2 linked regions of the Pelodiscus sinensis genome follow. The protein of the gene in region 2 interacts with the protein of the main gene of each other region in a biochemical or structural test. Links are inferred from orthologs where the notes say so. Each region holds a gene or a part of one and is shown on either strand. Other genes may lie near its edges.

Region 1 (7,391 bases), on a different chromosome or scaffold from region 2:
AATGTCTATAAGAATGGCTTGAGATACCTGTTAAGTTATGTATTAGCGTAAGAGTTACAGGCTGTGCAAGATGCCTACGGCCAGTCCCAGGCAAGTTCCATCACCTTCTACAGAATACAAAACTTTCCTTTAAAAAAGGTTTCTAACCTTTATAATTGTGACAAATCTTGCAAATATCAACCAAGCAGAATACAAATACAGGACTGCTGCTTCAAGTTTGTAGACAGCTCAAGGGGTTGTAGCTACTTAACTTTGAAAGTGGTAATACCTGCTTCAAATTCAATTCTAATAAATACTATTGTAAACCATGCTTGGTACAAATACTCTACTATAGCCACTTTCCTATCTATAGGATTTTGATTAACTTATTTCCTCATACACATACAGTAGATTAACCCCAAAATAGACCAAAAAAGAGCATTATCATAGCTAGGTGAACCAGCTTCTACTGATTGTTTAATTAATTAACAACAAAACTTGTTTACTTTCACTAGGACAGAATATAAAAACATTTTCTAGCTTAACAGTTAGACACACTTTTTTTTTTAAACACAAAAGTTTCTCCTCCTCCCCCCACCTCAATGGTAAATAGGGCAAAAACCTAGTTTTGTGTGGGGAGGGGAGGGTGAAGAGGTAAATTATTCCCGGAGAAATGTTGTGTCACTGCAAAGCACAGAATTCATGACCCTGGCAAACTTTTGCTTCCCTACAGAAAAGTGATTTCTGAGGGGAAAATAAAAGGAAGCCACAAGAGCAGTCATGAGTCCCTTGCCAGTAGTGCAGGCACATTGGTTTGGGAACTCAGAGCAGCCAATAGATGCATACAAATCACTGCTGGGGCAGGCAGGACTGGACAGTTATGCATTTGAGACACTATGCTTGTGGTATGCCTGGTGGGGAGAGGCCTGGCTTTGGGGTGCTTCTGAGGAGGTAGTTGTGTGGCAGGTTCCATAACTTCAGAAGGTGCAGAATGTAGCAGCCTTCCTGCTTAGTGAGTTCTTCCCATTGTTCTTAGTGAATTCCCCCAGGAGTATAAAACAGGTGTAAAAACGTTATGGCTCTTTTATATTGCCAGTGATGTAAAGGGGCCTTACTGTACAGGACAGTATGGTCTTATAAATGCTTATGGTACTTTAGTAATTAGAACTGGTTTAATTTTTGGACTGAAAAGATTTCCTATCAAAATGTGGTCCATAAACTGTTTGCTACTGACCATTCTGGAGATGGTCAATAGCCAGTATAAATTGGGAGTTTGAATCCCCATTCCTCACTTGCTCTTAATTTGCCTATGATGTAACAATGAGCGTATGACTACATATTCTTGTTGACTAGTAACTAGCTATATTAGAGGGGATTTGGGGTTTCCTCCAATGCTCCCCAAGCCCAGTCTTCATCCATTGTACTGTAGTTTAAATATAATCACCAAAATTTTTGAAATCAGGGTGATTATACTACTTTAAGTAATAAAATATGCAGAATTTTAGAATAGTATGCAGAATTCCCTTGAGAATAGAGGCTATCAATTTACAAAGCTTTCTTAGTTGAAAAAGCAGTGGTTAGGTCCTAAGCCAATCTCAATTACTTCTCAATTCTGTAAGACTCTTCTTAAGAGGGAGTTGGAAGGATTTTCTAAACTTATTTTCTTCTGGCCCAGAGATAGTTCTAAAATTCAGAAGCAACACATTATTGCCTTTCTGCTCTGCTGTAGGATCATCTAAAAACTGAAAACTAACATTAAAAGCAAGAAGCAACATCTGAGGTACCTACCATCCCAGAAGGGCTCCTTCAATACCGACCATTAAAGAATCTTCCAAAACAACATCATTTGTGACTTCTGGGAAGATAAACCCATAGATAGGTAGTTATACAACACTGATCATTCACCAGTATTTCTGCTAGTGCCCAACACTAAGGTTTTAAACTTCCTATCTTTAGGCTTGGAATGATTCATTTATGTGCTATATTTACTTTAAACTTACTAAATATTTTTTAATGTATCAATTTAAATGTTTGAACTAATAGAAAATTAAAATCCTCCAGTGCTTTTTATGCAGACTGACTGAATCCCAGATTCAAATCTTTTCTAATATCTAATTTGTATAAGAACAATAATGATTTTTGTTGCCAGAGCCAGCTACTAGCACGAAACAGGTGTATTTATTTAAAGATTCAGGTAGTGGGAGTATCCTGCATTAGTGCACGAGGAAGAGGAACGGGACAACTGGCAAGCAGTGGCAGATCGGAGTGGGAATGAAACGAACAGTCGCTGGCCAGGAGCAAGGTGAGGGGAAGGAAGCAGCTATACAGCCGCTCACGTCCCAACTGAACTTGCAGGATTGCAGTTTCACTTGCAAAACGAGTAGAGCGGATCGGGTGTTAACAGATAGAGCCCGCTTATGTCACTTTAGATGAAGTCTCCAAACATCTCGTGCTCATCGAGCATGCATTAGGGGCCAGCGAAAACAAGAGACCAGCTCACTCGGGCAGAGCTCACCCACCCGCCGCTCTCCATGGAACGGATGCTAGGCCCGCAGTTAGATCCCCAGGCCCGCAGCAGCCATACTCCTCTCCGCAGGCTCGCACCAGCGCCCGTGCAAGCTAGCCCTGCCCAGCCCAGGCCATCGAGCAAGGGAGCGCGAGAGAATCCTGCCCCAGGCTCCAGTCGCAGCCCCGCTGCCCAGGCACAGACGCTTCGGAGCCCGCGCGGGGACTCACTGAAGCAGACGAGGACTCGCAGGCAGCGGTCCTCCTGGGCGCAGAGGTGCAGCGAGTCGGCCAGCACCGCGCGGCAGCTCCGGCAGTGGAGCAGGGCACAATCCTCCAGCCGGAGCCCGCGGCGCAGCAGCGCCCTGGCCCCGGGGTTCCACGGCTCCTGCTGGGGCTCCGCGCCGCGCAGCTTGCCCGTGTCCGCCTGGGGCGGGCGGCCGCGGCTCCGCAGTGCGTCCGGCCGCTCGAAGGTGATGGCACCGCCAATCTGAGGCTCCTGAAACAACTCCTGGATGCATCTCCGCACCGCCATCTTCGCTCACCCGCTATCCGCGCTGCTGGTTTGAAACCAGCGCCCACCCCCTTGCCATCCCAATTGGAGGGCGACCTACAGCTCTGCGATCCGATTGGGTGGCACACACATCAATCACTTCACCAGGCGCTCGCAAGACGGGACTCGTTAACTCCGACCATTGGATGGTGGGGAGAAGACCAATCATTCTACTTCCCAATCAGAGAGCGAGTTGGGCTGGGGCGCGGCTGTATTTTGATAGACAAGTGCTTATCAGGTTAGGAAAACTAATACAAATCCCGTTCTCCAGGATGCCATTGGCTGTCTGTGGGTCGCAGCCACGCCCACTGATAGGTTGTCCAGCCAATGACAGGGCGCGAAGGGCGAGTTCGAATGCTGAGGGTGGGACATAGCAGCTTGCTTTTTGGCGTCAGTTGCGCGCGGGATTTGAAGCCTCGGCACGGCCGTTATCCCGGGCGGCGGCGCTCGCAGATCGGTTGCTGGTTCCCGTTGTTTTGCTGCCATGGAGCTGCCCTCGCTGCAGCAACTGGAGTCGCTCAAGTACAGCGAGCTGCAGCAGCTGGCCAAAGCCGCCGGCCTCCGGGCCAACCTGAAGGTGAGGTGGTGGCGCCTCGGCCGGGGAGCTGGGGGGACCCAGCAGAGAGGGGACGGGACAGGCGGCTGCGGGGCCGGGTCTCCTCTCTGGCGCAGGTGGGGATGATACCGAGTAAAGGCGATAGCGGGGGGTGGAAGAGCTGCGGGGCTGACGCTTCTGTGGTTGGGCGTGGGGACTCCCGGGCCCCTGTCCCCGCCGTGCTCCAGTTATCGGGCGGCCCGGGCAGGGACAGGGCGCAAGTGTCGTGGTCACCACGTTATGGCTTCCAGAGTCAGACTTACAGGGAGCAGCGTTGGGATCGCAGCCCCAAAGCGTCCATGTGAACTTCTTAAGGCAAAGAGTCTGGCTAGCTCAGTAGCCTGTTTACTGACCAGTCTCAGGGGCAACTGTGTTAGTCTGTGCCCTCAAACAAGGGGGTGTCCTGTGGCATCTTAAACACTAACAGATTTATTTGGGTGTGAGCTTTCCTGGTGTAACCCCTCTTTTCCTTCTCGGGTTACTTGGGAGCAGGTCACACTCACAGGTGTGCCTGATGGTTTTAACATAAAAAGAGTTCCTGAGCACCCTGGTGGTGGTGATGGTTAGTTGGGGATTTCCTCTCCACCCCCTTGCTGCAGTCCCTGGCTCATAAAGAATATGTAATGGCAGTGTACACACTGTCTGGCCCTGTACACACTTCATGGTATGCCTTGGGAGCCTCCAGGAATAAAATTATTTCAGCATTAATCTGGGTCTAATTCCAATACAACAATTACAAATTATAAATAATATACATCTAATTGATTACATTTGAATGAACGCACCTTTACTTAACAACTTAAAGTAACAGGGTTTAACAAATTAACAGTGAATAATATTAACAAAGTACACAGAAATGATAGGAATTTATCTATCTGGCATTTGCACTGCCATGATTTATCCCACCCTCGAGTGTGCACTCCTCTGAACTCAGAGTCCCAGATGCTTGTGTGTGTGTGCTTGAAGATCTGCAGCTGGAGTGGAAGTTCTCTGTAGGGCATTGTTTCTTAAACTTTTTAAGACTGGGGAACACCAAACAATAATTTTTTTTTGAGGAACACCAATTATTTTTTTGAGCCTCCCCCCCCCCCCCCCAAAGGTTGTTTGCCCCTTTAAGGGTGGCCATTTTGAACTCTGTTGTTCTATGAGACACACCTCCGATTGCCTTGTGGCCCATCCGTGTGCCGCAGAATACAGTTTAAGAAACACTGCTGTAGGGTGTGTGCTAGTCCAAGCTGTGTAGCCAGCTGCAAACTCGCTCTGCTACTGGAGTAAGTGCCACCAAATGCCAGCAGTTCTGGTTCCCTGGGCTGGATACTCTGCCTCTCTTTGGACCCAGAGTTAGCCTATATCTCTGAGGTCTGTCCTAGGCAGCACTTTCTCAAAGAACCTATTTACTTGCAGCCTCCTTCTGTGTGCTGGTTTTTGTGTAGTCCTCCTCAGCCACAGGTGCAGCCAGAGTCTCTTCCCGCTAGGGCAATCAGCAGCCTGCTAGATCTAAGCACCGCAGACTTTCAGTCCTAGAATGTAGCTGTTCCTGGTTTCCTCAAGGACTCATGCGAGTTAGTCTCTAGGGCTAGAATGCAGCACACACGATCCTCCTGGAAGAAGTCAGTTACCTTTAGTAAGGGGACTACACTGGGCAAAAAACTACTTCATCAATGCAACTGACAAAGTGGGGTTTTGCCCATGAAAGCTTATGCCCAAATAAATCTATTAGTCTGCAAGGTGCCACAGGACTCTGTTTTTTTTTGTCTTCTTATGGTGGCTAATACCAGATGCTTCAGAGGCAATGAACAGAATAGGGTGATTCTCAAGTGATCCATCCCCTGCCCTAGCCAAGCTTTTGGCAGGTAGAGGCTTAAGAATGCCCAATGCATGAAGTGTCCCTGACTATATTGGCTAATAACAATTGATGGACCTTTCATCCATTGTCACCTTATTTTTTAACTCAGTTATACTTTTGGTCTTTATGACCTCTTCTGGTGAAAAGTTACATAGGTTGACTGTGCGTTGTGTGTAGTAGTTGCGTATACAGGTTGGACCTCCCTGGTCCAGCATTGTGGGAGCCTGACTGGTCCCAAACAAGAGAATTTGCCAGACTAGGGGAGATCTCCAGCCCCCAAGCCCGTCACCTGCTACTGGCAGGATGCCCCGGCAGGCAACCCTGCCTCGTCCACCCACCCCACCCCCAATATGGGTGGGCTGCTTGCCCAGCTACTGCTGGCTGCTTAGGTGGCATAGGCTCCTGCTGTGCAGCTCTGGTACTGCGCAGCCAAGGGCAGCTGCGGGGCTGGAGCTCCGACTCTGGCCCTGCATACATGAGGGAAGTTGCGGGGCTCTGATCATGCACCTTCAGCCCCAGTCCTGTGCAGCTGGGGGAAGCTGTTGGACTCTGCACCGCCAGGGTAAACTGCGGGGCTCCAGGCCCAGCCCTGTGCTCCTGGAGTTTGTTGCGTGGACTCTGACCCTGCACTGCCATGGTGCTCTGGCCTCAGACTCACATTCCCAGGGGCTGCTGGATGCAGCATTGGGGTTCCAGTCCTGTGCTGTTCCCAGGAGGCTGGCCCTTCTGCCCTTAGGCTCCTGGGCTCTCTGGTCCAGGAGTATCCATGATCCTGCTGGACCAGAGATGTTGCTGGACCAGGGAGTGCCAGAGTTTGGAGGTACAATGTGTGTTGGTGTAAAAGTGGTGCCTGTTAATTTAATTGGGTGACTGTTGGTTCATGTGTTTATGTGAATGGGTTATATAAACTTTCATCGCACCATTCATAGACCTTTCTCAGAGCCTCACCTAGTTATCTTTTTTTTCTCAAGCTGAAACATCCTAGTCTTTTTTTAACCTCATATGGAAGCTGTTCCACAACGTTAATCATTTTTGTAGTACTCTAGTCTACCTTTTCCATTTCCAATATATTTTGTAAGTGAGGGGTAACAGAACTGCATGAAATAGTCAGTGTCATACCATGGATTTATACAGTGGCATGATATTTACTATTTATTGCCTAACCCTTTTTTAATGATTCTTAACATTGCAGCTGCAGTGAAAAAGCTAAGACATCGAGTAGGTGTTTTCAGGACCTATCCACAACAGTGCCAAGATCTTTTCCTTAAGTGGTAACAGCTAGTTGAGACCCTATCATTTTGTATATGTAATTGGGATTAGGTTTTCCAATATGCATTGCTTTGCATTTATCAACATTGATTATCACATGTAATTTATTGCCTCATCATCCTGTTTTGAAAGATCCCTTTGTAACTCTTTGCCACTGCTTTGGACTTAGCTCACTTGAGTAATTTTGTATCTGCAAACTTTGCTAATTTCTTTTTTACTACTTTTTCCTGATTATTCATGAATATGTTGAACACTAATGTCTGTATGGATCCTTGGGGGCAGTGTTCCTTCTAAATTTTTTTTCAATCCATGAGTAGAATAAATTGTATGTGCACTGAGACGTGTGGATGTGAACATCCACAGTAGAAACATATGCTGCTGGCTGTGGGCAGCTGTAGATGCTCTACTAATCAGCAGGACAGCATCTGAATCTCTGAGGTGACCATCCCAGCACTCAGCTTACAGGGAACACTGGCTGGGGAATATCACTATTTTTCCCTGAAAACTGACCATTTATTACTCCCCCTTTTTTCCCCTCTTTTAATCAGTTCATGAGGCGCTTTCCTCTTATTCCATGACTGCTTAGTTTGCTCAAGAGCCTTGGTGATGAATCTTGTCAAAGGCTTTCTGAAATTCGAAGTATA
Region 2 (7,729 bases):
TTCTGCTTTTTCCTTGAGTTTAGATAGAACAAATTTTACTTAAGATGGATCTGAATCCATTTGCACTTAGTGAGCAATCACAATGGCATCTGTGTGCAGAGTCTTTCAAATGAGACTGGAAGTAGAGGCACCTTCTGGTTGCGTTGGGCACCTAGTGTAATTTTATACACTTGTGAGTTTTATTATATAAAAGAACACCCAAGAATATGTAAATATCAGGTATTGGGCAACATTATACATGGAATATTTTCACAACCTTAGTCCTGTGGTAAGGGAGACATTAACACGGGGTGGGCAATAGATGAGGGGCCATTCCAAAAACTTGGGAAGTGGTCAAGAGCTGCACTTTTCTATGTTAATCGAGGGAGTGTGGGATCTGGGATGGAGGTTGAGTGAAGGAGGGAGGGTGGAGTGAGGGACTGGAGTGTAGGAGGGGGTTCAGAAAGTTAGGATTGTGACCAGGGCAGAAAGTTGGGGGGAGGAAGGGGACAGGGTGCCAGGTGCAGGTTCTAACGAGGAGGCACTTACCCTAGGTGACTCCCAGCTAACAGCCTAGCAAGACTTGCATGTGATCCAAGTAGCCAGCAGCTTTAAGTAGGCATCTCTGCATTACACACCTCTTGGGGAAGGGGAAACTTCACACATTTCTAGCCAATTGGAGCTACAAGACTCTGCTGAGGTGCGGGCAGTGAATGAAGCCTCCATGCCCCGACATGGGGCCCTTGGTGCTGTGATGTACAAGCACCAACAGCTGGCCACTTTGAAAGGCACATGGGGGTATAGCAGGCACGGTGCCTATTCAAGGATCAAGACATTGGCGACAGCCCATATTTTGCCTGCTCCACAATACAGAATACTGTTCTTGAACAAAAGGAGATTAGAGGAGTAATCCATAACCTTTCCCAAATACCCTCCCACATACTCACCTTAATACAAGCTTAATAATAAATATCTGATTGCTAAAAGTGTTAAGTAATGAACCCAAACTACCTGGCATTTAATCTAAAAGGCAAAAATCAATTAGCATATTTGACAACTTGAATCATTTGGTCTCATCCTTACCTGTCAATTGAGTCAACACTGAAGCAAAATAAATCTCGCTTATAGTCAAGATGTTTTGGGGTGCATCTGTAGATGTTCCCAAGGGTCATTGAACAGCCAGAGCAGAACAAAGTTTCAATCATGCTATAAGCAAATATATAACCACTTGTTTAGAAAGATGATTTAAATTGATTCCAATTCATTCACTTCTAATCTTACTTCGAAGAGAGTATCCACTACCACTGTGTCAGTAAATCACATTAGGAAAAAAGAGTGAAATGTGGTTATGTAATGCAAAAAATTACACATATTCATGTATATCTGTTTCATTTCATTCTATGAATCAGTATAGTCATGTTAGTCTGCAACTGCAGCATAATGAAAAATGTTTCAAATATGGCAGCTATATCAACACCTGAACTTCAGGCTTTAAGCCAACAAGGCCAATGCATCAGCACACACACATTTTACCATGCATTTGACAAAGTGGTTTGCCCCAATAAATCAGTTAGCCTTTAAGGTGCCACAGGATTCCTCATTTGTTTTACTCATTCCAAATATATAACCCTTGAACCCTATGCATGATCTTAGCAAGGTAAATTACTCAGCTATACAGCAGAATACTTTAGCCTATACTAGATAAAATTGACTTCCAAACTAGTATTTGGATTGAAATTTTTGGTAACTCCCTCCCAAGCAGTAACTAAAAGATCCTTATCCTATTTGGGGTTTTATGATTATGAACTGAATAAGTTTTCTTCCATTTTCATTCACCATTTAAGATTTGTGCAGGAGACATTTGAAGTCACATAATAAAACCCTTCTGATTGGGAGCATCGTTTCAGTGGCATGACCAATAGCAGCACCCATGGTGCACCATTACCCGCTGTTTCAAAGCCAGACCTCAAGAAGGTTCAGTCTGTGGCTGGTATCCACTGTGCCTATTCAGGCTGCACCAACCCAAGGGATATGTGCGTACTGAGGAATTGGCTTTGTTTTGCTTAACGAATCAAGTGCTGACTAAGGATGTAACAGAATAACCATTTAAACAGTTAACTGATCACTCTGGTGTTATCGGTACGGGAACGGTTACATGCAGGTTCCTGCCCCACTCTTGGGGAGTCAGCTGCCATCCTGCACCATGGCCTCTGTATCAGGGCTTACACTGCAGGGTGGCAGCCAGCTCCTTAGGAGCAGGGAGCCAGTACATGTCAGGAGCCGGGAGCCAATGCAGGCTGCAGGTGCGTGGAGCTGCTTTGAAGGTTTTCACCCAGTTACCCGCTTTTTAACATCCCTAGTGTTGATATAGCTACGCCATGGGCAACGCCTCCTGCTTCTCCCGTCTCGCGGCCGCCGTGCCCCGGCTGCTCTCCCCTTCCAGCAGTGGGGGAGGCCAGCGGTAGGGGGCTGGGATACTTCGGGCACGCCCCGGTCGTCATTCAGCGGTGCCCGCGACCCTGGATGTCCCGGCTGCCAGGCCCCTCGGCCCTGCCCACTCACCATCCGCACTCGCCGGGCCGGCTGGAGAGCTTCTGCTCCTTCTCTACCGACACGTTGGGGGAGGCGCCTGCAAGAGACAGGCGGGACCAACCGTCACTAACGGCCGCGGGCGGGCGGAGCGGAAGGAACGGGCTCGGAGCCGGCGGGGGCCGGCAGAGATTCGCTTCCCCCGCCAGCCTCGCGCGCGCGGGGACTCACTGCGCAGCAGGACGCAGCCGGTCTCCTCCTCGTTGGCCACCCAGCCCAGCGTGTCCCCCACGGGCCGCTTGCAGCCGGCGCACAGGAACACCATGGGCAGCTCCTCCGGCTCGTCGGGGGCCGCCGTGCCCCGGCTGCTCTCCGCCTCCAGCAGCGACAGCGACGCCTCCAGCCCCGCGCCCGGCGGCACGTATTGCGCGCCCGCCATCCCCCACCTTCAAACCGCCCGCCGCCCGGAAGCGGAAGCGGCGCGCACGAGCGGAGCGCAGAGGGGCAGGGACAAAGAGGAACCCCTGCCGGCGAAGCCCCGCCCCCTTCCCTTGTCTGAGCAGGGCGGGGACGGAGAAGAGCCCCGCCCCTTTCCGGCAGTGGTGGGGGCGGGGCTAAGTTCTCCTGGGTGCCGCGTGTCATATAGGGCCTGTGGCGCGTTTGCCCAGGTGACTGCGCCCCGCGCGCCCCTTGCGGCAGTGGCCCGGCCCGGCCCGGCACTGGCGGGTGGGAGGCGAGGGGAGGGGAGGGGAGGCTGCTGTTGCCCTGCCAGCCTGTTTTCCAGTCTAGGCTGATTTCTGGAACCAGTTTACGGAGACTGTGCCCCACCTGCGCTAGGGCAATCCTGCCACTTCAAGAGCCAAAGAGATCTATCGCCCAGCTGACCATGCCGCGCATGGCCACCCCGCCAGATTGGGCAGGAAGACATTCACCATCATCATCATCAACAACCACCATGGGCTCAACGCCCGTTGGTGTCTGATGCCTCCACTGCTGAGTCACTTAGTTTCTGTAGACTAGCTCCCCACCCATTCTCTGTGCAGTCTGCCTCTCCAAACTGGACTGTCCGTTATGCCGAATACCAGGGTCTTAACTTTTCACTCATTGTTCATTCTGCAGATATGCCCAAATAGCTGTAACTTCCATTGTATAACCTTCTGCAGTAGGTTTTTTTTTTGGCTGTATCTTCCTATATAATTCCTCGTTGGTGACCTTCTGCATCCATCATATTCTCAGTATCTTTCTATAACTCCTCTTGAACGTCAATATCCTTCTCTTTGAATCTTTCATTATCACCCATGTCTCACATCCCTAAACATGCTGCTAAATACACACATTTTCAAGATGCTCAATTCCATTCCTAAGCTAATCGCTTTACTTTTCCAGATCTTATCCATCAACTTCAAACTCGCTCTTGCTTTCGCTACTCTAGTCACTATTTCCTTCTTACAGTCTAGATCATATGTAATATTGCTCCCCAAATATTTGAACTTCTCTACATTCTCTAGTTTGATCCCATCTACACTGATCTTCCTTCCTATTTCTTTATCTCCAAATACCATTGTCTTTGTTTTATCAATATTCATAATCAGTCCATACCGCTTCCCTTCCTCATTTAGCACTTGCACTGTTCTCACTAGTTTCTCTTCATCTTCCTCGATAACTATAACATCCGTGAACCTCAAATTGTTAATTCTCATCCCGTGCACCAATATCCCTTCTACCTCTTTCTTGATCTTGTCCATCACACTCTCTAGGTGTGTGATGAAGATACTCAGCGATATCAGATCTCCTTGTCTCATATTTCTACTCATTCTAAACCAACTTCCCAACTCTCCAGTGCGCTTTTCCAATGCGCTTTTTGCAGTGTGGAGGAGCTTTTGCGCAAGAAGCCTGCGGTCTAGACGTAGCATCACTGGGCAAAACACATAGGCAATGTTTATTCTATTAGCTATGATATGTAGCTGTAGTACTGTAGTGCAGATCTTTCCTACATCAATTTCCCTCCTTAGATGTGTTACCAACCTCAATGGAAGAGTTTTTCCACTGATATACATCAAGGCTTATGTTGACCAAAATGCAGTGATCAGAATATGAATTTTTCATAGTCCTGAGTGATGTAGCGAAGTTGATCTACGTTTATACCAGGCCTTAGACCAAGAGTGGGCAATAATTTTTGATGGGGGGCAGGCACTCCCAAGAATTTGGTAAATAGTCAAGAGATGTACTCTTCCATGATATTAATGGAGGAGGTGTGGGATTGGGCATGGAGGTTATGTGTAGATGGGAGTTTGGGGCAAGGGAATGAAGTGCAGGAGGGGAATGGGATCTGAGAGGGAGTTTAGGTCCAGGGGATTGTGACCTGGGGCGGGGTACTGGGGCGCAGTGTCCAGAAGGAGATATGGGTGCAGGAGAGGATTCTGACCTGAAGGAGAGGTTTTGGAGGGGGGGTGCAGGTTCTGGGAGGGAAATGTGACCTGGAGCAGGAGTGCAGGAGAGCGAGCAGGGATTTGGATTGTGAAAGGGATAGGGAATTGGGGTTGCTAGCTCTGGGAGGGAGTTGTGACCTGGAGGAGGGGTGCAGGAGGTAGTACAGGGTCTGGGAGGGCGTTATCACCTGGGGCAGGGATGCAGGAGGTGTGCAGGGATTTGGGTTGTGACTAGGAGCAGAGGATTTGGGTGGAGGGGCTGGGATGGAGTATGGGTGCAGGAGTGGGAGTGCAAGTGTTTGGATTACATGGCGTAGAGTGAAGGAAGGGGGCATAGGATTGGGGGGAGGCAGGGCTGGAGTGCTGACACAGGCTCTAGCCAGGAGGTGTGTACGTGGGTGGGCTCCCGGCCAGCCTTCCAAGCTCCTGCACGCCGCTTAGAGCCATGTGTATTGCTCTGAACACTGCAAGCCCAGGGGAGTAGTACTTCACATGTAGCCTGTCCTGCAAACAGCTCCCATTGACCAGAAACATGGCAGCTATGAGATTGTGCTGGAGAAGGGGGCAGTGCATGAAACCTCTGCCTGTGCTCACAGCATTCTGAGAAACACACAGGGCAGTTTGTCGGAGCAGGGCAGGCAGGGTTGAGGCTCCTGCTGGCCCGCAGGCCAGATCCAGCCTGCAGGCTGTATTTTGCCTGCCCCTGCCTTAAACCCTGTCTTTTTGAGCACTAAGCACTAAGGTCTCCTCCAGCAAAGCTCACAGCAGGGCCACAGCCAGTTGCAGAAGGTACGGACACTGAGGTCAGCTCTGAGAAGACTCAGCTTATGGGACTTACTATGGTACCCAGTTGTCCATTCCCCTTTGCATATAAACCCAAAGTTATATGACATTTCCCTCCTTCCTTAATGTGAAAGAAGGTATATCAGCCTCTCCCATTCCCCCCTAGAAATTACATAAATTGGGTTACATTCATTATAACAAAAATATGTTTATTAACTAAGAAGACATGTATTTTAAGCAGTTAAAGAAGTGGCAAACAGAACAAAGCAATTACTAAAAATATAATGCAAAATGCATAATCTAAACTAGATTTACTACAGATTTGGTTACGGATAATAATTTCTCACCCAAAATAGTTTTTCAGGTAAAGTCTTTCAGTCAGAGGTGTTCTTTCTGGCCTGTGGCCAGCAATTCTCTCCTCCCCCCCACTCTCTTACACTTTTATTTCCAGATTTCCAGGTTTCTCTTTGGGGTGGGAAGGCAGAAGTAAAACAAGCTGAAGACAATCACTGTTTTCTTTTTTTCCTTACATAAAATTTCCATAAGTCAGGGAAACCTTTGATTCTCCCACCTCCTTTTGGAACAGTTCATAAGAACAAGGAGTTGGTTAGTGTCAGGTGAAGCATTATAGACTCTCTTCCCAGGAAGGCCAAGCCTTTTTACTTTCCAGTGTAGTAGCTGATGAGCCATCAAGTCCATTGTAGCCCCTGATGTGGCAATAGTGGGAATGACCCAGAGCAGCAAATATGAAGTCTAGATACACAGGTCAATATTCTTAACTTCATCTACAAAAATAATACCTGCATACATATGGGATAATCATATTCAGTAAATCATAACCCTTCCAGTGATATCTTACATGAACCATCTTGCATAAAGCATATTTCAGTTCTCATTCTTATAATAAACATTTTCTTAACACATATGGAATGTCATCTCACAATATGTGTCATAGAGTCATTAATTTTTAGCAGAGCTTTTTTCAGTAGGTCAAGAATATCTCTTTCATGCCAAGGGCTTCATTGTTGCTAGTTACTCACTGGGCCTATCAGTTTGGCTTTTGTCCATTCTGTTACTGTTTACTTGGCACTCACGTTAATACAAAGCAGGGTGGGAATTGATAGTATATAATTACCCACCAGCTAGAGAGGATTACATTTGGTGTCTGTCATAGCCTGACTGTCATTTCTGCTAAAAGGTTCTGGTATCTAATCAGTCCTTGGGTTTCAGGATATGAAGACTTCCAGAATGATTTACACAGGCATCAATTATGCAATCTTTATATGAGAACACTGAAGTGTGGTGGAAAATAAAAGATAATTAGAGTGGAGCTCTGAGCTGATTCAAATGCACAATTGAAATGGCTATCAGAACAAACTCATCTGAGTATTATTTGTCTTATGAATATTACTGGGACTATTTGGATCCAGTACCTATAGATGAAAGGAAGTTGAAGGCTAATAAATGTAAGTATCGCATAGTAAGTAGCAGTTGCTGATTTAGTATGTGAAGAGTTTGATAAATAAAATAGGTTGAATAATCTCCCTTAATATCTTCACTGTTGTGTGGCATTCTGTAACATAATGCTATTTACTGGGCTATAGATATGTAATTTGTACAGATGAGCATCTTGAGTTTTTCAACTCAGCACTAATTGGGTTCTATTGTAGGTTAATACTAATACTGCAATATTATTTCATTTACTCTACAATATATACATTTGAGAGAGATTTGTATATTAACCCAGATAACTGGAAAGATAGTAAATTGTTAAAAACAAATCTATGTAAAAGCCTATTTTAAAATGTTTATCAGTAGATTGGTGTATTCCTGTTTGCATGATAGAATAGCAAAATAGCCTTTTGTTACACTATGTAGTTTTTTTTGTCAGTAATGGTTGTTTTTTCATGGAATACCATCCTTGCATTAAAACTGGTGTAAGTTTCTGGAGAAGTTAAATTTTGATTAGCCAGGAACAAGAAGCTGAACACACATACTTTTTAATTTCT

What was found. The genes of interacting proteins can lie anywhere in the genome.
Region 1: the proteins of MIS18A (region 2) and OIP5 form a complex in vitro, tested with the Homo sapiens proteins (3 studies listed by BioGRID). The link is inferred for Pelodiscus sinensis from reciprocal best matches to the Homo sapiens genes MIS18A and OIP5.

What each region holds. Positions count from the first base shown.
Region 1 is NC_134714.1:64,300,313-64,307,703, forward strand, and holds the start of OIP5 (protein Mis18-beta), read right to left. Parts: upstream 3,038-7,391; 5' UTR 3,020-3,037; coding exon 2,716-3,019; intron 1,835-2,715; coding exon 1,768-1,834; intron 1-1,767. Other genes in the region: NUSAP1 (nucleolar and spindle-associated protein 1), read left to right, coding at 3,522-3,614. UniProt on the Homo sapiens protein: Required for recruitment of CENPA to centromeres and normal chromosome segregation during mitosis.
Region 2 is NC_134711.1:182,550,163-182,557,891, forward strand, and holds the start of MIS18A (protein Mis18-alpha), read right to left. Parts: upstream 3,040-7,729; 5' UTR 2,948-3,039; coding exon 2,740-2,947; intron 2,609-2,739; coding exon 2,542-2,608; intron 1,186-2,541; coding exon 1,063-1,185; intron 1-1,062. Other genes in the region: MRAP (melanocortin-2 receptor accessory protein), read left to right, coding at 7,081-7,186. UniProt on the Homo sapiens protein: Required for recruitment of CENPA to centromeres and normal chromosome segregation during mitosis.